3 linked regions of the Lonchura striata genome follow. The protein of the gene in region 2 purifies or fractionates together with the protein of the main gene of each other region. This does not show direct contact. Links are inferred from orthologs where the notes say so. Each region holds a gene or a part of one and is shown on either strand. Other genes may lie near its edges. The genes, in order: MTF2, EZH1 and JARID2.

Region 1 (3,744 bases), on a different chromosome or scaffold from region 2:
GAAGAAAGGCAGGGCAGTTGTGTACAGCAAGAGCCATTTGTCTGGGGTTGATCATGTGTTTGCACATGAAGGTACAGGGAGAAAACAATGGTACCGGGTCACAAGGTCACAAGACACCTTTTCCGACCAAAATTCCACTTAATTGTATCCCCAGCACCTCTGTGAATACAGCAACTGCCTTTTGGGTTTCTACAGTATCCAAATCCAGTACCTCCAACAACAGACCTAAGGGAGTGTGAGCACCCACCCCAGCAACGAAAGAAATAACAGACAATATGCTACCTTGCTCTGGGAGAAGTGGGAAAGAAAAAGGATTTCAGAGCTGACCAAAATAATAAGTTATCTTCTTTAAGGTCAGTCTGCAAGAACAGCTACCTCCATAAGCATTCCAAAGAATTAAAAAAATAAATAGATCTAAAACAGAAGTGAAGATATTTAGCTAATGAAGTATGTCCAGAGTCATCAGGAACGCTCTCATCAGTAGCACTCCTTCTCTCAAAGAATGTTAAGCACCTTGATTTCACTCTTCCATGGAGATTATCTCTCCAGCCATACCTGTGGTTTTATAATTCTTCTCCTGTTGTGTTTTGCTCAAAGACACACTTCCCCTCCATTTCCAGCAAGGAAGGCCTGTGAAGAAGGTGAAACCAACTCTGCAGCAAGGCCAGTGGCCGCTCACACAACAAATGTGTTCAATTCACAAACTAATCAAAGATTCATACTGGCTTCTAGTCACATCTCCAAGCTTCCTTCTCTACAACTCACATGAAGAGAACAAAATATGCTTCAGTGCCTCTACATTAATTCACATCCATCTCCAGGGAATACTGAAGTCCACTGTCCACTAGGAAATTAACTGGAACTTATTTGTTACAGCTGCTCTTCTCATAAATTTTACCTGACCTCCTGGTACAGGGAAGGACAAACATAACTTCATACTAACTACCAATACATGTCTCTTTCACCTATTAAAAAAATAGATATACCCTGCTGATTAGCTATATTAAGTCATATGAGAAGCGTCTAGATCTGATTTTAAATTCTTTCCAGAACAGAAAAGGCAAGTTGTTGAGAAGCCACACATGTGTATTTGACAAAATAAGGGTTAACTGTGGAAAACATTACTACATTATACTCTCAGCACAGATCTACTTTTCACAGCTTGTAGCTCCTTGCAAAGACCCTTCTCATTTTCACTGTATTATGCATTTCCTTTCATACGTTCAATCTTTGTTTTCCCTTATTCTCCTTTAAATGAAAAGCTCTGAACTCATTAACCTGTGTTCTAATAATACAGAAATGAAACATTTTCACCTCTTCTTTTAATCTCAAATGCTTTCAAATTAAATGTAATTTGAGCTCTCCAAAAAAAAAGGACAAACATTACCAGGTTAACTTTTACCCACCCGATTACAGATCAAAAGGAAAAAAACAAGAGGGAAACTTTTTTGTTATTATCCCATACTTTTGGCAGTTTGAGTGTATATCATTGATCACATTCCCTTACATTAAGTCAGGAGAAAGCCATGTTATTATCCATTACTGCGTTTGACCTTTCAAAGTTATGATAAGCTAGGCCTATCACAAATTCCAGAAACAACCATAATGCTACACTGCTTTCCTGGCAGAATCTTCCATTTAATTATGCAGGCCCTTTACTTCTAATAGCACCCTGATCCTCTATGGATGAACGACAACCCTTGGTATTTCAACACTAATATCAGTGTTCAGAGCATCCAGCACAGAACCATATTGTTCTCTTTCACTACAAGAGGTATCAGCCCATTCTTTCCAAAGAATTCAATACCAAAAAAAAGGAAAACGCATTACTGCATACCCTTTCAGCCAGCAACAGTTACTACATTTAAGTGGACTAAAAACCTGCTGTGCACATCCAAATCGTCAAACCTCACTGAAATTAAGAGGCGAGGCACTTCAAATAAACAAAAGAAAAAAAAAAAAAAAAGAAGAAAGAAAAAGCCACAGAAGAAAATCCCAAACAAACAAAAAAGCCCCAAACACAAAGTTACCAACGAAAACCACTACCTCTTTGTGCTGCTCTCTTCGCACTCGAGCAAACGCAGCCTACTCGGACAATATCCTTGAAGGAGAAGACGAAAATACAGCTGGCGCGAGGCTGATGGCACCTCACCGCTGCAGCCCCCGGCCCCGCCGACCGGCCCGCTGCCTCCCTCCCTTTGTTTTGGTCACCGAGGAGCACCACTGACCCCTCACATTCGCCTGCCGGCGGCCGCCCGGGAGCTCCCTCCCCCTCCCTCCCTCCCAGGCCTCGGGCTCCCCGCCGGAGCGGGCCCCTGGCCGCGCTCCCCGCCGCGGGGCCGGGATGCGGCGGGGCCGGGATGCGGCACCGCCGGCCCGGCCTGCGGGGATCGCGCCCCCCCCACCGCGCGGGCCCGGCCGCCCCCCCATCCCTCACCTCATTCGGTCTCCCCAGTGGTGCCAACAGCCTCATACAGGGAAATCGGCGAGCTCGGGAGCCTCCCCCGGCGGCGCGGCGCGGTGCGGCCGGGCGGTCCGCGCGCAGCGGGCCCCCCGGGCACGGACCCGAGGCGGAAGGCGGCGAGAGACGGTCAGACCCGCCTCACGGGCAGCCCGGCCCCAGCGCAGCCCCTCGCCATTTTTGTTTCCCGCGGAGGAGGCGCTGGTGCATTCTGGGAGCACAAAGGGCCGCGGCCCCGCCCCGGCGGCCCCGCCTGCGCCGGCAGCGCCGGGGGCGGGCGCGGGGCGCCGCGGCGGAGGGACACGGGCGCAGCCGAGCCGCGGCCGCCGTGAACAAAGGGGGACTATTTGAGGCGCGCGCCCGCGCGGAGCGGTGCGCGCCGCCGGGCTCGCTGCGGCCGGGCGCTCATTGTTCCCGCCGCACCTGAGGCGATGCGGCGCGGCCCGGGCCCCGCGGAGCGCCCGGCCGGGCTCCGGGGAAAGATCCCGCCCTGGAGCGGCGGCCCTGCCGTCTGGAATGACCCCGGGTCCGCCTTCTTGCCGCGGCGGTTGGCCAGGCCCGGCCCCGGTACCGGAGGCTGCAGAATGCACAGTGTGCTCCTCTGCGCCGACATCGGGATGCTGCCATTTTAGGAGATGAGCTGAACCTCAGTTCCAGGTGTTAGCAGCAGCTGTATTAGCTGAGCTAATGGAACGGGCTGAACAGGGACTCATGGAGTCTCCCTTTGGGTTCATTCAAAACCCACCTGGACACGTTTCTGTGTTGCCTGCTCTAGGTGACCCTGCCTTGGCAGGGAGATTTAACTAGATGATCTCCACAAGTCCCTTCCAACACCAGCAGTTATCTGGTTCTGGAAATACCTTTTTGTTTTCCATCATTGTGTTTTGTGGTTGTTCAGACTCCAGTACTGGGCTAGTGTCTATAGTCCGCATCGTTAAGCACAGCAATTGGCCCAATGCCACGTTTATAAACACTGCAAAGCTTGGCCTAGCCCTGTAGCAGCCTTTGCTGTGTGCAGCTCTGCCCAGTGCAACACCAGAGTGCCAGCGGCCCTGGATCAGATTTCACCCACTGGTGTCACTCAGGAATGGCTGAACTCAGAAGAATGGATGGAGAATTTAGGATTCCAGTCTCTCTCCTGCTCAAACAGCCTAAGTTCTCAAAGCCATCTTCCCTCTTGGGATAAGCAACTGAAACTAAGGTACTGGAGCAGTTTGTCATCCCTGGAAAAGGGCACAGGGAGGGAAGCCTGGGCAGACCACTGGAGTACAGCTTAGTCTGGC
Region 2 (3,744 bases):
AGGGATCTTAAAGCTCATCTTGTTCCACCCCTGCCATGGACAGGCCACTAGGCCAGGTTACTCCACGCCCCATCCAATGTGGCCTGGAGTGGACAGAGCTGGTTGCTCCCAGGTTACCTTCCTCTCCATGAACTTTCCCATCATAGTTATTAATAAGTTCTTCAATGAAAGTTTCATCTTCTTCCTTCACCTCGTCGCCCATGTAAGGGATATTGCACAGAACTGTTTCATCCTCTACCTGAAGAGAAATCAGACACAGCTCAGAAAAGCAGAGTTTGCTGACCCCAACGAGGCTGTGCCCAAGGCTGCTCTGGTCCCTTAGGTCTGCCAACAACACGGTGCACAGTAAAGGTTCAGATGTCTCATCACTGACACATCAGTGTTATCCCATTGTAACCCAGTCACAAATGAAAGAACCTGCCTAAGAAATAAAACTCTTCATATAAAGGGAAATAAAAATCTTAGGAAAAAAAACCACAAACAAACAAACAAAACCCCCAAAAAACATATTTACTCCTTGATTTCTGTGAAACAATGGTGACTCTGTCAAGAAGACACATGTAAAGGAGACTACCTGGTGAGGTAGTGTGGACACAAGGCTGTCTGGGATTCTACAAAACAAGCAACTAAAGAAACACTTCATCATCTCTCAAGCAGATGTTGCCTGAAACAAGTGGGATGAAGAACCACTTCCCAGCTGTGTAACAATCAGATGCTGACCTCGCTGAGACCCCACGCTTCCCACGTACCATGAAATTCTGCTGAAGAGGGGACCAGGAGTACATAATGGGCACCAGTGCCACTGTGTTCAGGGTCCTCATGTACAGTGTCTGGCTTGAAAATCCTGGGAAAATGCTCTCAACAGTGCACTGGAATACAAGTACAGAAAAGGTCAGTGAGGAACCACTCTGGGAGGCTGCCACAGCCTGAGGAAAACTGAATTCAGGACAAATACAGAAGCCCCACATCCACTCTGTGGACTCCATCCAGGGAAAAGCCTTGGGGGTACTTTTTGTCCATTTCTGCATTCCAGAAGTGTGAGGCATGGCCTGACACTGATCTAGGACAACACAGACAAAAACTCATCCATATTCCCAAAGCTCCCTGCAGTCCCCACTTGCTGATGCTGCCCCTTTTCCTCTGCACACCTGTTTCAGGAATGGGTGCCCACTGACTGGCTTCATCAGCTGCACTGGCTGCACTCGAAGCTTCTTCCAGTCTTCATTAAGGATTTGAGTCTTTTCATGAACCTTTGCAAAGTTGGCCACAAAGAGAGCCTGAAAGGAGAGAAAGGAGCTCTCAAAATTTAAGAAAACCCATTGAGAACTCTCACAGCACTGAAACAGTTCAGCAAGGAGATCCTGTAAAAACCAGCTGGAAATCAGCTCTCCTGCTGCAGATACACCAGTGCTTGTTCAATGGCCTCGTGCATGTGCCAGCTGCTGCCCACAAGCTCAAGGCAGAGCACGAGCAGAAGTGGCATCTCTTCCCATTGATCCAGCTTGCAAGTCAAGTACAGCTTATCAATTCATCTTGCTGACACCCTCTGGCACCATTCACTCTGAGCTGAAATGAAGCTTTTTGGTGCATCTCAGCCCAGTCCTTGCTGTGGCTGTACCTTTGCTCCCATGTTTGCCTGGAACCTCTTGAGCTGCCGCAGACGCATGTACTCGGACTTGACTTTCCTTTTCCAGTACATGATACACTTGGATGTCGGAGGAGTGGTAATTTCCATTTTTCTGTAACAGTACAGAAAGAATAAGCATTAAATAATGGAGAGCTCAACCTCGAAACAAGTGGTATTAGAAAAACGCCCCTGTGGATGGGAAAAACACTCTATGCATCACAGACCTAAACCAAGCAAAATAACGCCGTAGCTCTGCAGTGCTCCTGACTGCGGAACACCTCCAGCCCGAAACAGGCCCGGGACAGCAGCGAGGGGCGGTGCTGACCAGAACCGCCCGTCCTGCTCCCCGAGCCCCCGGGGCAGCACGTGAGCCCGGGGCTTGCTGCGATCCCCGCCCTCCCCCGGGACACGCCGCCGGAGAGCCGCGGCTCCACTCCAGCCGGGCCCGAGCGCTCCCCACGCCCGCCAACAAGAAGCGGAGCGAGCCGAGGCCGGCCGCGCCGCCGGGCCGGGGGAGCGGGTCCGAGTCCCGCAGCTCTCCGCCCCCGGGGCCCGGCTGGTCCCACGGGGACCCGCTACCCCCGGGACCCCCGGCCCCGCCCGCACTCACTGTTCGGCCATCGCGACAGGGGGAGGCCGCGCGCCCCCGCCGCACTGCGCACGCGCCGGCCCGCCCCGGGCCCGCCCCGAACCCGCCTCAGGCCTCGGCCCCCGGCCCGCCCCGGCCCCGGCCCGCCCCGGGCCCGCCTCAGGCCTCGGCCCCCGGCCCGCCCCGGGCCCGCCTCAGGCCCGGACCCCGCCTCGATCCGCCCCGGGCCCGCCTCAGGCCCCGGGCCCGCCTCGACTCGACTCGACTCGGCCCAGCCCGGCCCTGACCCGGCCCGGCCCCGGTCCCTCACACACCAGGCCCCACCCTTCCCCGCTCATACCCAGGCCCCGCCCCTCACATTCCCCAGGCCCCGCCCCTCTTATCGCCAGGCCCCGCCCCTCACACCCCAGGCCCCGCCCCTCACACCCCAGGCCCCGCCCCGCCCCGCGCCGCCGCCGGTGCCGGTGCCGGTGCCGGTGGGGCCGGGACGCGTGGCCTGCCCCGGCGGAGCGGACCCGTTCCAGCCTGGAGGACACCCCTGTCGGCCGCGGGGAACGGGCTAAACGCGGCGGCTCGGTGCCGTGCCCGCCCATTCCCGGCGTGCCTGGGCCCACCCGGCCCCGGCCCGGTCTTGCGGGAAGCACTTGGCGGCAGCGCCGTTCCCGCCCGGTTCCACCGCACTCCGAGTCCCGGGACAGCCCTGCTCGGTGTGGGCGCGCTGCCCGACGAGCCGTCCCGGTGGTCCCGGGTCCCTCTGGCCCCACCGCCGGGCCTCCCAGTGGCGGCGCCGGGCAGGAAGCGGCTGCTGGCGGCAGCTTTCCTGCCCCGGGGGCCCCGGCGCTGGGGAGCGGACGGAGCTGGCTGCTGCCCCGGCGCGGCCCCGGCCGTCCCCCGCCGGCTGCCGGCTGCCCCGGGGCACCTTTTTGGCAGGGTGACTGCGGGGGACGAGCAGGGCCGGCCGCGCCCGCAGCCCTGCACCCCGCCCGCATCTCGGAGCTCCGCCGGGTCAGGCGGGGCGGGGGCCCGGTGTCCCCCGGCCCTGCCGGGCATTGGCTCGGGAGCGGGTCGCCAGCGCTGGGACGGGCCGGGCTCCGGGATAGGTGACCGGGTGAGTCCCAGCCCGGGCGCTGGGATCCCGCTGTCGGTAGGATGAGGATGCTCCCTGGGCTATGGCTGCTCTGCTGCCCGCTCCTGTCTGTGCTCCCCCGGGTGCGGCACAGGCAGCCGGGGGTGCTGCACGGAGGCCCCAGGGGGTTGGGCACAGGGTCTGGCACACGGCGAGTCCCCACAGGGCACCTGGCGTATTTCTCTCCTCTCCCAGTGCAGCTGTGCTGGAGGACAGCTTGCCTGGCCCCTCCTGGCCTTCTTTGGAAGGATCTCTGAGCAGGGTTTGCCACGAACTTGTCTGCCCCCAGGGCTGGTGTTGGCTCAGAAACTTCTCTTCCAGGTTGCAAGGACCAAGGCAGAACCAGGAGCCCTCTGCTCCCTTAGCCCCTTCACCTCTACTGTGCTCAGCTCAGCCTGGGAG
Region 3 (3,744 bases), on a different chromosome or scaffold from region 2:
CATAACGGTTTCCTTTCTTTATGTTTCAATGAAAGAAAAAAATACACTTTGAATTACTCGAGAATTGGAACTTGGGGATTTCACACCGACGCCCGGTCCAGCGGCAGAGCCCGCCGGGGATGGGGCAGGCGGGCAGGGCGAGGACCGGCCGCTGCTGCCGGGAAGCAGATTTGAGAGCACACCTCCACCCGCACAGAAAGGTTATTCCCGGGCGCGACCTCGGACACCCTGGAGACACCGAGCGGGTCTCGCACGGCGCAGTGTGTCCCGAGCTGACACCGCCCGCCCGGCAGCCACTCAGTCCGTCCGTCCGTCTGTCTGTCCGGCAGACCCAGACCACCGCCTCCTCGGCGGGCGCAGCACACAGACACGAAGTTTTCGGGCCGCCACTTCCCAGCCCAACCCAGACACATTAATCCCTGCGCTCTCCCTGCAGCCTCCCGCGGCGCCTGCCCGCCTCCCTCCTCCCCGTCAGCGATTCCCAATAAACTTCCCCCGCGCCCTCCTCCTCCTCCTCCTCCTCCTCCCCCTCCTGCCGTACCTCTGCCCCCCCGCTCCCAGCCGCTACCACCGAGCGCCGCGGAAGGGGGGAAGTTGGGGCAGACAAGCGGGAGGGGGGAAACCAAAGGGAGGGGGGGCGGGTTGGGGAAGGACGAGCGTGGCGAAGGGGGGGGGGGGGGGGTTCCTTGTCCAGCAGCCAATCGGCCGCCGGGCGCGCGGCGCACGCCGGGAGGCGTAGTTCTGCGCCGTTCGCCATTTTGTGGCGAGGGAACTACAACTTTCCCCACGAGCAAGGACAGTTCTGGGGGCCTGCGCGGCCAAACGTGGCTTTCAGGTGCTGCCTGCGCGGCGGGCCCCCCGTGCCTGTCGAAGCCGGGGGAGACGCGGCGGGCGCAAGGGCGGAGAGGAAGGACAGCCCTTGGCAGGCGGGAGGAGAGAGGAGGCTGCAGCGGGGCGGGGAGGGGGGCAGGGCACGGCGACAGAGCGTGCTGCGCTCTTGAGGGACCGTCGTCAAACTCCCCGCTCGGGTTTCGGCGTGGGGCTCGCGGCGACCTTGGCTGCCGTGTGGCCACGCTGAAATGCCGAAAGAAGGGAGGTGGGAAGAGTGGTGGGCTGTGGGAGAGGGAAGCGCGTGAGGCTTGAGCCGCATGGAGCGTGTAGCGGGGCCTGTTGCATGCGCTGAGCGCGGCGAGAGGCCGGGCGCTGCGGTTGCTGCCCCGGTTGGGAATTAAGGGCGAGCCCTAGGCGGTGTATGCATGTATGTGTGTGTGCGCCGTGTGTCCGTGTGTGTATATATATATACACACACACACGCATACATACATATATATATATACACACACACACACAGAGGTACACGCACGCGCGCGCACACGCACGCACGCAGACATAGATATTAACAACAGAGGAGGGGAGGAAAAAGGAGAAAAAAAAAAAAAAAAAAAGAGCCAGGTCCATTTAAAGTTGCTGGCGGAGAGCTGCTCTCATTGGCTAGGGGGGAGCTGGAGGAGCGGAGACACACACGGTGCGTGCAGCCCTCGCTGCCGCCGCCGCTGCTGCCGCCGGAGCCGCCGCTGCTGGAGTTGTCCCTGCCGCTTTCCCTGCTGCAGCGGCACAAACGTGACTTCCAACGTCCCGATTATTTATCTTCTCCTCCCGGCCCCTTTCCTCCTCCAAGATGTAACTACAGCTCTGACACTAAGGACCTGCAGATCGCTTAGGCGGCTTGAGAAAGAGAAAAGGGGATATCAAGGGCGTCGTTTTTTGTGTTTAGGGGGAAATTTTCCATTATAATGCTTCACTAAAGTGATTTTTTTGTTTGTTTCCTTCGCATTCGTCTTTTTTTTTTTTTTTTTTTTTTTTCTTCCGTCCCCCATTTCTCGGATTTATTGCTAGGAGAATCACATTGTGAGGAAAGAAAGTCGGATTACAAGATACCACTACAAACAACCCCCTCCCCCCTGGATTTTTTCGGTATTTTTTAATTTTTTTTTTAATTGTCTCGGCTTTAATTCATGAAGCAATTGTCCCCTTTTGCAATCAGAATTTGGATACCAGAATGAGCAAAGAAAGACCCAAGAGGAATATAATTCAAAAGAAATACGTAAGTGTTCATAACATACATCGTTTGACTCCCCGTTTTAGGAAATGGCAGTGAATGTCAAGTTTATAGCTAATCTTTCAGCTCTAAGGCTTTGGGAACAAATGTGATGCTGAATTTGATTTTTCTGTGGTGTGGTGGGGGAGTTTCAGAGGCCCCTTTTAATGGGGAAGCCTGCTATCCAGTTCGGTTATAAAACCAGATTTGTGTAGCGATTCCTCCAGTGAATAAATGTATTGACCTCAAATGACACAATCATAATCTAGTTTTAGATGAAACGCGAGGAGCTCGGGGGGCTGCCACGATAGTGTCACCGAACTGCATTTTCAAGCGATTTTCTTAATTCTGTGCTTTTGCATGCTAAAATAGGTTTATTGTTGGGGGTTTTTTTGGGTTTGGTGGTTTTTTTGGTTGGGGTTGGGTTTTTTCTTTTTCTTTTTTTTTTTTTTTTTTTTTTTTTAATTATCTACGTGTGTCTATCCTCGTCTGGTGAAGCGGCGGCGGTGGTTGTTGGAAGCCCTTTAAGTTGAAACCGAGTGTCTGGTTATGGCGAGCTGGGCTGGTTTCTCGCAGTACCACATCCCCTTCTCCTGTGTGCGATCCTCGGCTGCTCTGCCTTGCGATAGACACCGGAGCAGCCGGGGATCGCCTTACGGGCAGCGCGTTCCTCGGGATTGACTGAAATAATGAGGAAAATGGCTCGGTGCCGTTTTAAAAATAATTCATTATGTGGCTCGAAAATTTGGGCTAATCCAGCGCAGCCTGGGCTGTATTTCTGCCTCTCTTTATTCAGCCGCTTAACCAATCCCTCGTAATTGTCTAATCCTTTAAACATATAAATGTGGATGGGTAGTTGGATTTTTGTTCGTGCTCCAGTTACGTTTTGATTGGCACAGGACAGTTTTTCCCTACGTTTGGAAAAGCAGAGGGGATTATCCGTATATGCAGTAGAGCGAATAATGATTTTTATCTCCATGTTTAAACAAAAAAAAAACCACAGCACCAAATTTTGGGGGGGCGGATATGGGGAGAAATATATATAAATCCTCGCTTTTGGGCGTGTTTGATGCGAGGCTTTAAAAGTTGTAGTTTATATAGCTTCTTGTCGTCTGCGCCGATTTCTTTCAGCGGAGGGTGTCCCTTGGCAGGGAGGGTGACCTTCGGGACACTTTGCCTCGGTATTCTATAGATTTGGTAAAAACTGCAGTTGACTCCAGCTGACTGCCGCTATCGATTGCCTGCCCGGCTGCAGGGCTGCCCGGGGGAGGTGGTGGAACGATGTGTGTGTGTGGTTTTGGGGATGAAGGGGAGGGGGGGGGCCTGCGCGCTATGTCGAAGCTGCCCCTCTTCTCCTTTCCACCCCCTCCCGCACCCCCCTAAATTTCCGAATTAAAATACATCCGCATTGCAGAGGAGAGGGGAGCCCGGGGCCGGCGAGTTTAAAGTATGGCATCGAAACGGGAACGGCGGGTGGAAAGTCTGGCTAAACACGCGAGGCGTCCACGTTTCCCAGGCAGGCAGACAAAAGCGGGGTGGGGGGGAAGGAAACCGCGGTGTTATTAATTAAAGAAGGGGGGCGGCGAGAGGAGAAGGGGGAGAGATCACCCCAAAGCCCGGCTTCTCCGGGGCGAACAATGCGGCGC

What was found.
Region 1: the proteins of EZH1 (region 2) and MTF2 purify together in Homo sapiens (affinity purification with mass spectrometry; 3 studies listed by BioGRID and IntAct, with this or other methods). This does not show direct contact. The link is inferred for Lonchura striata from reciprocal best matches to the Homo sapiens genes EZH1 and MTF2.
Region 3: the proteins of EZH1 (region 2) and JARID2 purify together in Homo sapiens (affinity purification with mass spectrometry; 4 studies listed by BioGRID and IntAct, with this or other methods). This does not show direct contact. The link is inferred for Lonchura striata from reciprocal best matches to the Homo sapiens genes EZH1 and JARID2.

What each region holds. Positions count from the first base shown.
Region 1 is NC_134611.1:20,719,270-20,723,013, reverse strand, and holds the start of MTF2 (metal-response element-binding transcription factor 2), read right to left. Parts: upstream 2,605-3,744; 5' UTR 2,443-2,604; coding exon 2,438-2,442; intron 2,098-2,437; exon of another isoform or gene 2,047-2,097; intron 1-2,046. UniProt on the Homo sapiens protein: Polycomb group (PcG) protein that specifically binds histone H3 trimethylated at 'Lys-36' (H3K36me3) and recruits the PRC2 complex, thus enhancing PRC2 H3K27me3 methylation activity.
Region 2 is NC_134627.1:6,234,958-6,238,701, reverse strand, and holds the start of EZH1 (histone-lysine N-methyltransferase EZH1), read right to left. Parts: upstream 2,315-3,744; 5' UTR 2,249-2,314; coding exon 2,238-2,248; intron 1,740-2,237; coding exon 1,619-1,739; intron 1,278-1,618; coding exon 1,149-1,277; intron 870-1,148; coding exon 750-869; intron 239-749; coding exon 118-238; intron 1-117.
Region 3 is NC_134603.1:89,554,720-89,558,463, forward strand, and holds the start of JARID2 (protein Jumonji), read left to right. Parts: upstream 1-1,440; 5' UTR 1,441-2,059; coding exon 2,060-2,104; intron 2,105-3,496; exon of another isoform or gene 3,497-3,614; intron 3,615-3,744.